Linked DNA regions of Oryctolagus cuniculus. The protein of the gene in region 2 interacts with the protein of the main gene of each other region in a pairwise test. Links are inferred from orthologs where the notes say so. Each region holds a gene or a part of one and is shown on either strand. Other genes may lie near its edges.

The links. The genes of interacting proteins can lie anywhere in the genome.
Region 1: the proteins of FXR2 (region 2) and NDN interact in a two-hybrid assay, tested with the Homo sapiens proteins (2 studies listed by BioGRID and IntAct). The link is inferred for Oryctolagus cuniculus from reciprocal best matches to the Homo sapiens genes FXR2 and NDN.
Region 3: the proteins of FXR2 (region 2) and PAICS interact in binary tests that used the Homo sapiens proteins (3 or more experiments, as listed by UniProt). The link is inferred for Oryctolagus cuniculus from reciprocal best matches to the Homo sapiens genes FXR2 and PAICS.
Region 4: the proteins of FXR2 (region 2) and TBC1D22B interact in binary tests that used the Homo sapiens proteins (3 or more experiments, as listed by UniProt). The link is inferred for Oryctolagus cuniculus from reciprocal best matches to the Homo sapiens genes FXR2 and TBC1D22B.

Annotation. Positions count from the first base shown.
Region 1 is NC_091443.1:13,452,797-13,456,232, forward strand, and holds NDN (necdin), read right to left. Parts: upstream 2,183-3,436; 5' UTR 2,050-2,182; coding exon 1,072-2,049; 3' UTR 501-1,071; downstream 1-500. UniProt on the Homo sapiens protein: Growth suppressor that facilitates the entry of the cell into cell cycle arrest.
Region 2 is NC_091448.1:52,173,967-52,178,200, forward strand, and holds the start of FXR2 (RNA-binding protein FXR2), read right to left. Parts: upstream 2,801-4,234; 5' UTR 2,431-2,800; coding exon 2,350-2,430; intron 1-2,349. UniProt on the Homo sapiens protein: mRNA-binding protein that acts as a regulator of mRNAs translation and/or stability, and which is required for adult hippocampal neurogenesis. Specifically binds to AU-rich elements (AREs) in the 3'-UTR of target mRNAs.
Region 3 is NC_091439.1:108,090,219-108,094,293, forward strand, and holds the start of PAICS (bifunctional phosphoribosylaminoimidazole carboxylase/phosphoribosylaminoimidazole succinocarboxamide synthetase), read right to left. Parts: upstream 2,801-4,075; 5' UTR 2,645-2,800; coding exon 2,629-2,644; intron 1-2,628. Other genes in the region: PPAT (amidophosphoribosyltransferase), read left to right, coding at 3,438-3,565. UniProt on the Homo sapiens protein: Bifunctional phosphoribosylaminoimidazole carboxylase and phosphoribosylaminoimidazole succinocarboxamide synthetase catalyzing two reactions of the de novo purine biosynthetic pathway.
Region 4 is NC_091436.1:132,390,660-132,394,940, reverse strand, and holds the start of TBC1D22B (TBC1 domain family member 22B), read left to right. Parts: upstream 1-1,481; 5' UTR 1,482-1,560; coding exon 1,561-1,616; intron 1,617-4,281. UniProt on the Homo sapiens protein: May act as a GTPase-activating protein for Rab family protein(s).

The DNA.
Region 1 (3,436 bases), on a different chromosome or scaffold from region 2:
CACGAATGTGGGCTCCAGATTCATAGCATAGGTTCAAATCCTAGCACCCTCTTTTACTCAGCTATGTGAGTTACACAAAGTTCATCCCTACTTTGTTCCTGATTTCCTCCATTGTGTGGATGTAATAAGCGACTATTTAGTGAGGGCACTAAATAAAAGGCAAAAGTTAACAAAACACTATTCCTCCCTCTTTAAGAGACCACTAAAGGCAGCTATTAACTTTGATAAAGTATAGAAAATGAAGGCAAGAAATTATCTTAAATATGATCAATTGCTATTTCCTTGTGTTATGATTGTGGAAAATTTTACTTGTTTTGGGGACATTACACATTCTGTATTTCTCAAACCTTTTGAAACAAATATGAGTTGTATTTATAATACAATATAAATACACATTTAGGATTAATCATGAAGTATTTGCATATTTTGTACAATGGGGAATCCCTTCTCATTCCCTATGATACCGTTTATTAAAATGATAGAGTACAGTTCTCCAAAAATGATTGTATCACAAGAATCTTTAATGTTTAAAGTTTACTCATGGTAGGTTGTATATGTGTTTAGTAAAGTGTGCCAAGTGCCCACATTGAGACCATCTCAGTTCAAAACAGTTCACTCCAGATGTTGCTCATGCCCATCAAGGTCATAAAGAGGGGCCTTAGGCTTTTCTCTTGGTTAGGCCAGCTTTGCTGGTGAGTTCTCCACACTCACCAGGTGCATCAATCATACAGTACACATCAATCGTCCCATATAAAAGAATAAGATGGAAAACTTCTCAATGTATTTCATAAGTTTAGCACATCTCTGGTACAAAAAATCCAAGAAAGGTAGCACAAAAGCGAAGCACCAACAGAGCTTACTTATAAACAAACATGCATAAATGCTAGACACTACTTGATAGTACCCAAATGAATACAACATTGCATTAAAAGGTATAAAAGCACTGTACTGATAACTGAAAGGTTACACGTGAAATACTGCACTGTAAATCCTGAATACTCTAAGACCTGCCCCCCACCCTTCCACAGCCCTGGTGGGGGTTGGAAACCATCAATCTGCCTCCAGACCTCACTAGTCCTCAGACACACTGCTTCGGGGGCAGTGGACACTGGGACTGGCCTCCCGCAGAGCTCTGGCCTCCTCCAGAGCTTCTCTGTATCTGGAAGGCCAGGCCTGGGGATCTTTCTTAAAAACCCTGGCCAGGAACTCCATGATCTGCATCTTGGTAATCTCTTGCGTGGCTCGGGAGCCCCAAAAGAACTCATACTCCGGAGGTTCAACATAGGGTACGCGCTGGTACTTCAGGTAATTCTGCTGGACGAACTCCTCGGTGATGAGCTTTCTCACGTCCCCGAAGGTGGAATGCTTCTTCCAGGGCCGCAGCCCCAAGATGCGCAGCACGTTCCAGACGGCGCTCTCTCTGGCGCCTCGGCCCTTCACGTAGATGAGGCTCAGGATCATGAGCAGAAGGCCTGTCATGGGCATCCGGTTGCTCAGTGCCACCCTGTCCAGCTCCTCGGGGTCGAGAGCCTTGACCAGCGCAAACTCCATCGTGTGCAGGCTGGTCAGCCTCAGGTGCAGCCCAAAGACTCGGGCGAGGATGAGGCTGGTGCGCCTGAGGATGCTTCTGCACCATTTCTTGTAGCTGCCAATGACATCTTTCACCATGTCTGGAAACCAGATGATCATCTTCTTCTGGTCCTTGACCAGCACGTACCACATGAGCTCATGTGCCTTCTGCACCAGCTGGGCCGGGGCGGGCGGCGCGGGGCCCAGCTGGGCCGCGCTCGGGGCCTGGTGGGCGCGGCCCTCCTCAGCTGCCTGCAGCAGGGCCTTCGGGTCATCCTCATCGCTCGGGGCCTGGGGCGGCGGCTCGGGCTGTGAGAGCGCCGTCGGGCCTGGAGGAGGGCTCTGTGGCCCTGCGAGGGTCGCTGCAGGGGAGACGGGCGCAGGGCCCCCCGCCGGAACCCCTGGGCTGCTGTGCACTTCGCGGCTGGGGGTCTCGGCTGTCAAGTCGGGGTCGCTCAGGTCCTTACTTTGTTCCGACATGTCTGCGCCGTCTGACAGGAGCAGGGCCTCAGCGTCCCGGAGCTCTTCGAGCCTGCGTTCCCTCCGCGGTCTCCCTGAGAGGAAGTGCGCGTAGCTGCGCGCGGCGCCTTCCGCAGCGGCGGGCAGGGCGGGGCGGCGGCGGGACGACGGGACACTGCGCCTGCGCGTCCGCGGGCCGCGCGATTCGGACTGGGCGGGAGGGGAGGGGCTGTGCGCCCGACGGCGAGGGTCTGAGGTGGAGCCGCTGCTGGCCTGATGGGAATGACCCCGGGTTTCCTGCGTGGACGAGGCGGCCTTGGGGAGGGCAGGAGGGGCTGGGTGGTCGCTGAGGAAGGGGCAAGTTTAAAGGGGAAGATGGTAACTTCAGTTTCCCACGTGGTGAGGTAGAGTTTCTTACAAGGGTCCACCTGGGTTTGTCCAGGACTAAGTGTGACAGGAGCGTCCCAGAGAGAGCTCCCGGTTTCCTGCGACCAAGTGAGAGGAGCAGCTGGGATTCCTCAAGAGAATGTGAATAGTTGGGATTCTCTAAGAAAATATGCGAACTTTGGGAAGATCTGAGACTGGAATCCTGGGAAATACCAGTAAGAGTTGATGAAGTCTCTCCCTACAAAATTCCGAGAGTAGGAGGAGGAAGAGTATAAAATAAGGAGGAATGCAGAATTGGTAAATTCCCTATCAGTCCGTGCAAAATGTGAATGATGCTGGAGATAATGGGTTTAAAACAACTTTGACATTTTTTGTGTATTTTTACATTTTTAATTGACATAATAATTGCACATATTTTGGGGGAACAGGGTGCTATTTCCATAAATATATATGATGTGTATTGATCAAATCAGGGTAATTAGCATATCCACCACTTCCCACATTTTCATTTCTTTGTGTTACGGGACAGTCAAAATCCTTCCATATAGCTATTTTGTAATATATAATTAAAGTATTGTTAATTATAATCACCTAATGTGATACAGAACACTGGAAATTTTTTTGTTGCATTTAATTGTATTTATGTAGCATGTAATTGACTTTTCTGTGTCTCCCTTTCTCTTCTTCTTCCCAGTCTTTGATAACCAGTTTTCTAATCTCACCTTCCATGAGACCAACTTATTTAGCTTTCTACATGTGAGTGAGGACATGTAGTATTTGTCTGTCTGTGCCTGGTGCATATCGATTAACATATTGTCCTCCAGGCTCATTGGTGTTACCTCAACTGACTGATGGCATTCTTTTTCTCTGGCTGAATAGTGTTCCATTGTGTGTATATACCACATTTCCTTCATTCATTCATCTATAAATAGCTACTTATGTTGATTCATTAGTCTTTTGATTATGGATTTTGATTTTCATCTTCCCTTGGGTCACTTTGATTCCATTTTAACTTTTCATC
Region 2 (4,234 bases):
GCAGCTTCCCAAACTTATAGTTCCAGAAGCAGTAGGAATGCTCCTTGACCTACACTAAAGTTTGCTGAGTCATGAATATTAAATTAAATCAGCAGCAAGGTCAGCATGGATAAATATCTATATGACACTGAGCTGAAGAAAGATTAGTCTCAATTCAGAGATTTGTTTTGTTGTTTTTTTACCTTAGGTATGGGACAAAAAATGCTAATGTTGCCAGAACACAAAATCCACATTACCTCACTTTCAGTTCAACTCCAAACTCTACTCTGATTCAAAGTATTCTGTGCCCCAATTCTTCAAGTCACTCATGGCCACAGCCCAAGAGCAAAAAGGGAAAGTCAGAGACTTCCTGTTGTACACTTAGATGTGGATTACAGGAAAGATGGCCCTTCCCAGCTGTTTCACACATTTACTGTGAAGTGGGTACCATTCTTTCCCAGCTGTGCCTGGCTGTCATGCTTCCTAGAAAAAAAGCAAACATCATTATCTTGATCTCAAACTCAATTTAAGAATCATTTCTCTTGGACTCCAGAACTCGGGGGTGGGCAGGACTCAGATGAAAGACAAGACACTGGGATAAACAAGGCTAACATCTTATGAGGCAGGGTTTTCAACAAAGGTAATGCAAGACTGGAGGAAAGGATGTTAAGAGGCAAATGTGCTCTATCAGAACCAGAAAGGAATTAGAGACGTTTTGCCAAAGAAAACAGAAATGAAGAAAAAGTCCTAAGAGTTAGGAAAGTATGCAAAAAATGACAAAAGCAATCAGCTGGGAGCTTCCTTCAGCTAGAAGTGTAATAAGGTGGTTCCTGGGGATTATAGAAATATTAGGATAAAAGGCCAAAGACTTGAACTGAGAGGATGAGTTATGAACAGACACTAGATATACAGCAATCTGGAGAAGAAAGGAAGCAAAGAAGAGTGAATAGGTACTTACAGAGAGTAAAAAATGACTACAATGAGCTTATCAACTGAAGTGCAGGCAGTTACCATCCACTCCAACCAAGGGCAAGACCCTTTCCAGCTGTAGTAAGAGACGACTTCACAGTCATCAGCTCAAGCCACTTCCAAGGGCATGGGAAGATTGAGAGGTCTTTGTAGGGGGGAAAGACCAGAAGGGAACTGAAGGAGAGCTGGCCCTGGGAAGATCTCTCTCTTGCGACTCCTCAGGATGAAATGAGACAGGAATCAGGAAAATCTCTGGGACAATTCCAGACACAAAGTCCCAAAGAGGTTAGGATTAGCAACAATCACACAAAGAAAAATTCTTTGAGTGGCTAAAAAGGTCTCTCTCTGTACGGCATCATCTAAATGGGGACAAAAAGTTCAAGAAAATGGGTTCTAAACAAATAAAGCAGTAGTAAAAAGAATCCTAAGGAAACCAATCCTGGGCAAGGAGGGAGCTGAAAGAAGCAAGGGTCTTTGAAGGATAGTCCCCTTTTCCTTCCAAAAACAGGCTGCAGGATTCCAGAACTGGGAGAGATGGCCAAAAGTCTTCTAGAAGTGGAAATCCTTAAAAAGAGAAATGGAAGGGCTCATGGGGAGACTCCCTTTTAGACACTATGCATATGAAGCTTACCATCAACATGCAGAAGCTGTATGAATGACCTGAATGGATCTGAGGTCAAGGCACGATAACAAACAGAAACCTTCCCCTGGGTAGAACGGTGGACCACCGGGCTGGCCCGGGACTGAAGGGGGGCTGGGGTGCCAGACTTATGAGCAGAGGCCACTGGCTGGAAGGCAACATGACTGATACAACCTGAGGCCAGAGATGCCAAAAGTCATAAACGGATGTTGACCGTTTCTCCTTGGGTTGGGAACGGCAATGTAAGGCGAAAGTGGGGTGAGCGTTCCAGAGCCAGTAGGCAGAGGCCTCTCTGAGGATAAAGGAGCTAATATGGGACAGAGGGCCTTCCCAAGGGGGTCATGTGGGAGAAGAAAAGAATTGTCCATGTGCTTGGACCGCGGGGAAGAGGTGATTAAAGGCTAAGGTATGGGGCGGGCGTTGTGGCACAGCGAGTTAAGGGCCTAAGGTACGGCTTCCAATAGCAAACAGGAAAAGTCAATTAAGCTGAGGAAAGAGACTTCTCCTGGGGGTCCGGGAGCGCCGATCCAGGCACAGCAATGCCCCGATTCTATTCTGAGCTGAAGGTAAAAGCAGGTATAGGAGCGGAGTCAAAAATAGGAGGAAGAGAGCGAACTCCCGGCAGTCTCCCGGGGAGGGCTGCGGTGGGAGCATGGGTCGAAGGTTCTACGGGTCAGGACTCAGCTCCAGAACCCTGGCCCGCCCCGCTCTGCCTGCTCCGGGAGCTAAAGACGGGGTCCCCGGCCGGCGCACCGCCTCACCTTGTAGAAGGCCCCGTTGGAGCCGCGCACCTCGACCGGCAGTCCCGGCTCCACATCCCCCCCAGAGGCCAGGCCGCCCATGGCGCCGCCGCCGCCTCCGACGCCCCCGGCGGCGGCTGCAGCAGCGGTCTGAGTGCGGGCCGGGCCAGGCCCCCGGCGTCTCCCCGGAGGAGGAGCCGGAGGGGGAGCCGCGGGGGGCGGGAGCCGGGCCGGCCCCACGGCGGCCCTGCCACAGCCAACGAGCAGGGGGCCGGGGCCGGGCCGCTCCCCGTCCGCCGCCGCCGCCTTGGTCTCCGCCACCGTGAGGGAAACGGCCGCCGCCGCCGCTGCCTTCGTCACCTCAGCTTCCGCCCGCCGCCGCCCCCGCTGCTGCCCCAGTCCCGGGACCCGCTGCTGCCGCTGCCGCTCCACGGCCTCCACCTCCCCCTGCCGCCGCCGCCTACTGCGCAGGCGCACCGGGCACCCGCCCGCCGCGCGCGGGACCCCGAGGCCCACGGCGCAGGCGTCAAGGCCGGCGACCCAGCTCGCGCTCGCCAGCGCATCAGGGCTTCCACATTCCCTTTCGCTCTCTCACGCCCTCTCGTGGTCGCTTCCTTGCGCTTGCGCAGAACGAGATTAGCCCTCTTTCTTCCCCACCCGCCCCTCCACAGCCCCCATCTCTTCCTTTCCCCGCCCCACAACACTCGGCGCTAGCCAATCGCGGGGAGGGAGGAGCCGAGCTCGCGCAATCGGATTGGGCCTCGGCCGCTCGCGCTCAGACCACACCCTCTGCGCCCCGGGAGAGCCGCCGCGCTCGGACAAGTTCGGGGTGGGCATGCGCCTGCATGACTGCTTGGTCACTTTCCTCACCTTTGTCTGTCTTGGTGCGCACGCTCCCAAGGAAAAAAAAAAAAAAAGGGAGAGTCGAAAAGCAAAAAGTGCCCGGCGCGCAGGCGCTGAGCGCCAGTCGGCGCGCACGCACGGACTCTCGTCAGCGTCTCTGCGCTATAGGATATTTGAGACTGGAGCTTGTCGCCTTGAGCGGAGTCTGATAAAATGCGAGGCTAACGAGTCGTCTCGAGGCACTACCGAAAAGCAGCTAGGCTGGTGCAAGATCCCGAGCCTTAAATATTAAAGAAATTCAAAAGAGGAAAAATTTTCAGAAGTGAGGATGGTAGCGAGAAAACTTCGTATTCCTGAACTAAGATAAGAAATTAGGAGAAAGTTAAAAAAAAAAAACACACAGACATTAGAACAGTCTGCATGTAATCATTTAGCCAATATTTATTTTACTCACACTATGTTCCAATCAATGCGCTCAGTGCTAAGGGTTACAAAGACAAAAACACATTGCAAGGTACCAAGGCACATGTAACAGATTGGCAAAGGGACGATTAAATATATAAACGCATACAGTTTGATGGAAGCTGTGATAGATTTAAGGAGGGGAATTCTGAGGAGACATTGGTTAGTTGTTCTCAGGAGTGGTCAGGGAAGACCACCCAGAGGAGTTGATGCAAGGGATGAGTGGAGTTTGCTGGGGGAGAAATGCAGTCACAGTATTCCGGAGAGAATGAGGGATGCAATGGTGCAGAAACACAGAAAGCGCATGGCCTTGGAGGAGCACAATTACCAAAGTTCAAGTAGTATTTGCTGTGACGTGGGGAGCCACAAGAAAAAAAAAGGTAAAAAGAAATGCAATAAGAAAAAATATGTAAGTATTTAAAGATATATATATATTTAACTGGCTTATTGGCCTTCTTTTAAACTGAAGGAGATCAACTAATCCAGTCAAAGTTTTTCATATCCCTGCAAAGTTTATTTTTTAAAGATTCATTTATTTGAAAGGCAGAATTACAGAGAGAAAGGCAGAGACGGAGAGCGAGCGAGCACATCCACCTGCTGG
Region 3 (4,075 bases), on a different chromosome or scaffold from region 2:
GTTCAGCAGAACTGCAGTGTGGCTGCAGCACCAGCGCTGTGGGTGCAGGTCCCTCGCCACGGGGACAGCAGGAAGCGAGACCCAAGACTTGTGCAGGGCTCACATTAGCAGCTGGCAGAGGCAAGCACTAGCGACAGCTCAGCACAATAGCTGCTACCCTAGGGCACCTAATTTAGAGGATGAATCTGTATCCTCCTAACATACTATCCACCAGACTCAGCAACAGGCTTAAAAAACCCTGCAGCGGGGAGCAGGCACTTGGCCTAGCAAAGATACCCCCTTCTCACATCAAGAGCTCCTGGGTTCCACCCCCGGCTCTCACTTCCTGCCAGTGCAGACCCTGGGAGGCAGTGGTGATGGCTCAAGTAATCCGGTTCCTGTCACCCATGGAGAAGACCTGGCTTGAGTCCATGGCTCCTAGCTGCAGGCATGTAGGAGTGAAACAGCACCTGCGAGAGCCTGCTCACCCTCTTGCAGATAAAAAACAAACCCTCCAGCATACAGCCCCAGTTTAGTGCTCTATACTTATTTCTCCAGTCCCTGCCTAGCGTTCCAACTTCTTCCATGGAATTCTTATCCCCCTCCTGCCCACTTCTGTTCCTTTCTCTTCCATTTCCTCAGGCCTTGTAGGCCAAGTTGATTGAGCTGACTTTATCCTAGGAACAACCATAGATAGGGCTTTTAAGCTCTGTAGTGAAATGCTAGATTTGCATTCCAGAAAGATCCTTGTGGTTGCTGTGTGGAGAACGAAGGCATGGTTGGAACAAAACCAGACTCTGGGAGACCCGTTAGGAAGCTGCTGCTACTGCAGCAACCCAGGCAAGAAATGTCACAGTCTAAGGGAAAAGCAGTGGGAGAAGAGGCAAGATGTTTGAGAGAGAGAGAGAACCGATTCAGTGTGGTGGACAAAAGAGCTATAGGAAGCAAGAATGGTTCAATCTCTGCTTATTGCCCAGTCATGAAATAGGACAGCAATGGCAATGGGTAGACTCAACCATCCGGACACTTGCTCAAAGTGCCAAAATGCTGTCAATTATTAGATGAGTTCAGAAGAGACTGAGAAGGACTGAGAATGGCTCATGGAACTGAAATTTAAAAGTTATCAAAAGCATAGAATTTCCATAGAAAAGAACTTTACCAGGCAATCATCAAACACTTGAAACATGATGACTCCAAACTGAGATGTGATTTATGTATAAACTACACACCACACTCAACGTGGAAAAAAAAAGGATGCAAAATACCTCAAGGAATTTTTTCTATAAATCACATGTTGAAATGTTCATATTTGGGATATCCTGGGTTAAATAAAAGCCATTAAAACTCATTTTACCAAATTTATAAAAAACTTCAGAAAGAGGGCTGTTAAAAAACAAATTTATGTATATGGTTCACTTTATATTTCTTTTAGCCAGCATTGTTCTAGAACAACAATAACAAAAAGAAAAAATAAAATGTGACCTCTGTGAATTAAACTCACTGGAATGTAGGGTAAGGATTCCTACCAAGACAAATTAGGGTGGAAGAGGTAGGAAGGACAGCTTTACGCAGGGTTCCAATCACAGGAACTTAGGAACAGGCTGCAACAGCTCCAGGGAAGCCACTGAGCATTTTTCTGACCAAGACGGGCCTTCATTCTGGGAAAGCTAACCTGCCACTGGTATCCAAGATGTAAGTGCTGGAACAAAACCTTGAGAGGTCCCACCAGGTTCAGGCACCCTGACTGCAGGAAAAACTGGCCAGCCCTTGGTTTTATGGAGCGGTTGCGCAATTATCAAAATGCTGTAACTTTGCAGAAGAGTTCAGAAGAGGCTGATGAGGACTAAGGATGGCTGAAGGAATCGGCTCTTCCCGGTGAGTTTACAACGCTCTTTTTACGATGGCTCACTCCCCAGCTGGCCGCAACCGCCAAGCCAGGAGCCCTATCCAGGCCTCCCACGTGGGCGCAGGGGCCCAGTCCCTCGGGCCATCCTCTGCTGCTTTCCCGGGCCAGGACTCGAACCTTCGCCATCACGCCGGCCCCAGCTTACAACTCTCTGATCTAAATCCAGTTTGTCTCCTACGTGCAAAAAGAATGTACTGGCGGATGACACAGGCCATCTGGTTCACTGCGTATTTGTCGGAAACATCGTATCACGTCCGATTCCACATCCACGGCAAGAACCATCGTTCCAGTCGACCTGAGCGCAAAGGTTACCGCTACGACGTAAATGCGGTAAATGCAAAATGAAGCTAGCAACCCTTTTTTTTTTTTGTTTTTGCCTGCAGGTTTTGGAACTCAGCAAAGCCATCAAAGACTGCTTTAAAAAGTAAAAAAAAAAAAAAAAAAAAAGACCAAACTGCACAAAACCTGGCCAGATTTTCAGTTTAATCAAGAACCTGGAACAACCAAGACTCTAGGGTTTGAAGTCAGCACCAGAATTTCAAGCAGTTGCTTTGCAATAGCTATTCATGACCAGAGCGCTTCCGACCGCCTTTTGTCCCAGGGACCCGCCCCACGCTCGCCCCTCGCCACCGCGTCCCGCGCTCCGGGCGCTCGGGCCACGTGTGCGTCCGCCCAGAGCCCGGCCGCCTCAGCCGCCTCGGCCACCTCAGCCGCCGGGCCGGCCCCGGGCGCCCGCCACTCACCCTCGGCCGTCGCCATTATCCCGAGTGGACCAAGGGCCGCACAAATCTGGAAAAGAGGCCGAGAGGCGCAGCGCGCGGGCCGCGGAGGCGGGGCTCTCGCAGAGTCGGCGGCCGCCGCCGCGCAGCTCGGCCGACCGCGATCTACGTGCGAATGCACGCGGCAGGGTCTCTGCCCGGGGCTTCCCGCCGCGCAGGCGCGCCGGCGCGACCCCGCCCCCGGGCGGCGTTCCCGGGGAGCCGGAAAGTGGCGCGCGCTGGCGGCCCCTCCCCGCTCCGCGCCGACCGCAGGCTGGGGCCCCTCGGAGCCGGAGGAAGCCGGTCAGGGCTTGGAGCGTACCAAGTCGTCCCGGCCGGGGGAAGGCACGTGCGGAGGGGCGCGCGACGTGTGCCTCTTGGGCGAGGGCCAGGATGCTAACCCCGTTATTCTCGTCACCCCAGCATTGAGGACTAGAGAGTAACGGAGATTTCCACGTGCGGGAGAGTATACTGTCCGGGCGTCTCCGGGGGTGGGGGAGGAGTAGCTCCACCCCTACTGTATGCGGGACTCCTCCCCTCGGCCGCGGAGCCTCGCTCTCTGCCCTCACTCATTGGCGGGCCCTGTGGGGGGCGGGACGCGGGGGCTGCGGCCCCGCCCACGGAGGGGGCGGGGACAGCACGCGCCGCCGCAGTAGCGAGCAGACGCTCGGTGCTGGGGAGGAAGCCGCTGTCTCCGGCGCGGTCTTCTGAGGCGTTGGTTTCAAGGCTGCAGCTGGTTGGTGCGCCGACCCGGGCCGCGGCTGCAGCTTCCTCCACGTGCTTTCGGCGGCGACATGGAGCTGGAAGAGTTAGGAATCCGAGAGGAATGTGGCGTGTTCGGGTGCATCGCCTCAGGAGAGTGGCCCACGCAGCTGGATGTGCCGCATGTGATCACGCTGGGACTCGTGGGGCTGCAGCACCGGTGAGCCGCGCGGGGAGGGCGGGGGTGGCGGTGCCTCTCGCGAGCGCTCGAGGGCCCGGAGCCCTGGCCTCCGTTACCTGGACGTGCACCTGCCCGTGGCACGCCCCGGGACGTTAACGCACACAGTCCCGTGCCTCTTGCCTTTTGGGGCCCTCACTCCCCTCCGAGTCCCGCCAGCTTCTGAGGTTCCGCTAGGCTCGTCCCCGACTGCCTGCGGGTTCTGGCGCCCCCCGAACGTGGGGCTGCTCGCGGGGTAGGCTCGTGCCGGGAGGTGCCCGGACCCGGTCCGACGACCAGCACAAGCTTTTGTTTCCAGGACACAGCCCTGGAGCCGGTGGTGGGTTTGAGAGTAGTCACAGCAGTGGGAACTGGAGGGGAGGAGGGGGTCCCGGCGTCCGGATCCGGGAGACTTGGAGTAACCTGTGGAGGGGACGCACGAGCGAGCTAGGGAGATGCCAAAATGAGCTTCCCTGGAAAGGGGGAGTGAGGAGTGGGGCTGGTGCTCCCGCG
Region 4 (4,281 bases), on a different chromosome or scaffold from region 2:
ATTGGAGGGCATATAAAACATCCTTCTTTTTAGATAGGAAGTCCTCAAGTATTCAACTTGTGAAAAGTCAATGGGCTAGGGATGGAGACAATCAGCCACCTCAACCATCCTCTGTTGGAACAAAAATTACTGTGGATGGAGTGTACTTTCTATTTCTCCCCAGTCCACAAAATCTCAAAAAGAGCACAAGGGGCTGGCATTGTGGCATAGCAGGTTGAGCCGTGGTCTGCAGCGCCAGCATCCCATATGGACACCGGTTTGAGTCCTGGCTGCTCCACTTCCAATCCAGCTCCCTGCTAATGCACCTTGTAAAGCAGTGGAAGATGGCCCAAGTGCTTGGGTTCCTGTACCCGCACGGGAGACCAGGAAGAAGCTCCTGGCTCCTGCCTTCAGATCAGCCCAGCTCCGACCATTTTGGCCATTTGGGAAGTGACACCCAGTGGATGGAAGATATCAAGATCTCTCTCTCTTCTCTCTGTAACTCTGCCTTTCAAATAAATAAACAAATCTTAAAAAAAAAAAAAGCACAAAGCGCAGACAAAACATTTCAAAGAGTTTAAAATGCTAATATTAAATTTCATTCTGAGACAAAATTAGATTGAGAACAAATTCAAGGGTGAAAGATTTACAATAGATTAAGAAGGGAAATTAAGGATAAGTGTGTGGGGGTACACCCGCATCTTGGTGATTCACATCATGGAGATACACGATATGCTCTAAAGAAATGGGGTACTTGGTCATGTGGATTGGATGGACGCAACCACATTCCCTAAACACGTCTGTCAGTCAGTATCTAGGCTTTCACTGTCAGAAAGTGAGAGTTACGGATTAAAACAGGATTCGATCCTTGGCGTTTCATTCACAGCACAAATCCTTTAAAAGTATTCAGTCAACAGAGGAGGGAGACTCCTGAACCCACTGTCACATGTTGAACAGTTAGGGAGCGTGGGTTAACTGAGTCCTTCATAGGGAGAAAAAAAAAAAAAAAAACTCCGGACCTAAACGGAACCGGAACGAGGAAGGGGTGGCTATCACCGAAGTGTCACTGAGTTGGGTGTCGTTAAAAATGGGTCACAACCAACAAGGTCAAAGATTTATGTTTATAAATACACACTATGGCCCTCCTTACAAATAATAGCAGACTCCGGGATCTCATTTCCCCAGAAGAAAACAGCCCCCGTGCCTCCTTCCCGTGGGTCGCTTTCTTTACCTGCTTCTTCCCTCTCGTGGGTAGGAACTTTCTGCCCCGCCTCCCGGCTCGCTCAAGCTCCGCCTTCCCGGCCCACCTGGGTGCCCAGCCCCTGACGTTACCGTTCGGCTTCAGCATCCTACAGGATTCCGGCTCCCGATTGGCCCGTCTGTTCACGGCTGGCGCAGCCCACCAATGGCAGCTGCGCTGGGTGGGCGGGTGCCCACATCCAAGATGGCGCCCCCAGGAGCTGGGAGCGGGTGACCGGCGACGGGGAAGCGGCCTGGGTTGGCCCTCAGATTGCGGGGTCTCGGGGGCGTCTCGTCGGGCACCCCCTGACCCACCTACAAGGCCTTCCCCGGGCCAGAGCAATGGCCGCCGAGAACAGCAAGCAGTTTTGGAAGAGGAGCGCCAAGCTGCCGGGGAGGTGAGCCCAGGACGCTGAGAGGGAGCCGGGATTGGACCAAACCCTTCCAAATCCTAATCCCTAAATCTTGCGACTGATGTGGGGACCCCAGGACCGAGCAGTCAGGGCTGCCTGGTAGCGGCAGGGCGGCTGTCAGGCAGAGGAGCGGGGACGGCTGGGTGTGAGGTACAGACCGGGGTCTGAGGGCGGAGGTCTCAGGAGAGGTGACCTCAGCTGGGGGGTGGCCGACGACCGGGCACAGGGGGCAGAGGAGTTGAGGGAGAACCCCGTGTCGCCCCCGGGGCTTGGGGGGCCATTCCCAGAGCCACTTCCCACTTTGAAGAGAACTCCTCGGGGGTCTCCAGCATGCACAGGTGGTTGCTTACTCGAGGGTGGCCCCTTCCTTGGCTCCCCCAGCTCCTCAGGTGCAAATCTTCTCCCAAAGGGTTCTGGTGGGAGCTTGGGGCCGCCTGCGAGGAAAGGGGTCGGGGCGGGGGGTGGGGGTCCAGGAAAAGTGAGAGCAGTTCTGCAGCCTGACCCCACTTTATCTTGAGTTGACCCTTTCCCGTCAAGGATTTCTTACAGGGAGACCACAGAGTCGGTGTTTTTCTCTAGCATTTTCTAGGGATTTGTCCAACTCCAAGTGACCTCTTCCCCCCACCCCCTGCATTGTAATGGTCTTCTTGTGCACACACACTGAATTCTTTCATTCTTCAGTGGTTTCGTGGAGGGCAGACCTTCTAAGCGATTTTTTTTTTTTTCCATTTTGGCATGTGTTGAGACTTTTTAGCAGTTGTCCATCCCCCAATCTGCCGTTAGTTGACAGTTTGGGTTGTTTTGGGCTGAGTCCTTAGAAGTCTAAGGAGGAAAGTGTGTTTCAATTGTGAATTTAAGATTTCTGCCAGCCACAGTCCAGTTGGTGATGAAATTCACGTTTGGCTGTGCCCTCCCCTGCCACCTTTCCTAATTGATTCAGTTCTTTTCTTTCTGGGATAATTGGTAATTCTTTGAACTTATGACTGAGTATTTTCCTCTAAAGCAAAGAGAAATGAACAGTCCGTAGTGTCTTGGCAGTCTTACCTTATTTAGGATCCTATTAAACATATGGGAAATGGAGTGGGGATCAGCTTTTAGTAATACATATTAATAGAAGGCAATGCAAAGACAGCCTCAGATTAACATGGAAATTACACTGGAATGACTGTTAATATCGTGTTAAAGATGTTGTGTGTCTTTAGATAAGCATCGCTTCCTGCCACCTGATTTCTTTTCCTTCCTGATCTAGTGAACTCTCCAGTTATGCTAAATGCTGTTCTCTGGGGTTTTCCATCATGAGATCATTAAATTTTGATGTCCTAAGGTTATAATGAGACTCAGCAGGAAAACTGTTCCAACAGGAAGCAGTGCAGGAGATGAGGGACATGGCATGGTCCTTTGTGCCTTCTGACACTGGTTGCTGTTCACTGGCTTCTGTTTAATACTGAAACAGTCAACTTTTCTAAAGCACTATGTGAGATAGGAAGAGGAGTCTTTTTTTTTTTTTTTAAAGAAAGATTTTATTCATTTATTTATTTGAGAGGTAGAGTTACAGACCGAAAGAGGGAGAGACAGAGAGAGAGGTCTTCCATCCACTGGTTCACTCCCCAAATGGCCGCAACAACTTGGAGCTGAGCTGATCTGAAGCCAGGAGCCTGGAGCTTCTTCCAGGTCTGCCACGTGGGCGCAGGGGCCCAAGCACTTGGGCTCTGGGAGAGGAGTCTTCATTTCTTCAAGTGTCTGACTCTTCCATTTTGAAGAATACAGAAGGGAAGAGGAGAGAACCTTAGGGTTTAAAAAGCCTTGGCTCATTATTTGAACTCTCTTACCTGTGTGTCAAAGACAAATGATTGACATCCAGGCCTCTGTTTCCTTATCTGTGAAATGAGAAATAAAAATACTTCCCTCAGGGTTCCTGGGATTACTAATAAAATACCCTATTTGTAAAGAACCTAGGACCGTTTATTTAACACATTATAGTTGCTCAGTATTGCTGTTTCTAGAGCAAGTAATTGTTGAAAAGAATATTGCTCAGATCCCTTACCCCAGCCCTAGTTCAAGTCTTCATTCTTTGTTCTAACCATAAAATACTGGCACAATTCATACTAGCTTTTAGTACTTTGATTGTTGAAGAGAAATATGGTTCAGCTGTGTGCCTTTATCTGCGAGGCCCCAGGAGCTCCTGATTATGGGAGAAAACTACCCAGGCATCTTGTAGATGGAAAGGTGCCTTGATGAAAGGAAAATGTTAGAGCATTTTCTCAATATAACTTTTTTTTTTTAAGATTTATGTATTTATTTGAAAGTCAGAGTTACACATAGAGAGAAGGAGAGGCAGAGAGAGAGAGAGGTTCTCCATCCTCTGGTTCCCTCCCTCAGTTGGCCACAACTGCCGGAGCTGCACTATCTTAAGCCAGGAGCTTCTTCCAGGTCTCCCACTTGGGTGCAGGGGCCCAAAAACGTGGGCCATCTTCTACTGCCTTCCCAGGCCACAACAGAGAGCTGGATTGCAAGTGGAGCAGTCGGGACTTGAACCAACGTCCATATGGGATGCCAGCACTGCAGACAGCGGCTTTACCTGCCACAACATAGTGCCGGCCCCCAATATATCTTTTGACTCTTCACTTGATCTTAGCCAAAAAGCCAAGAA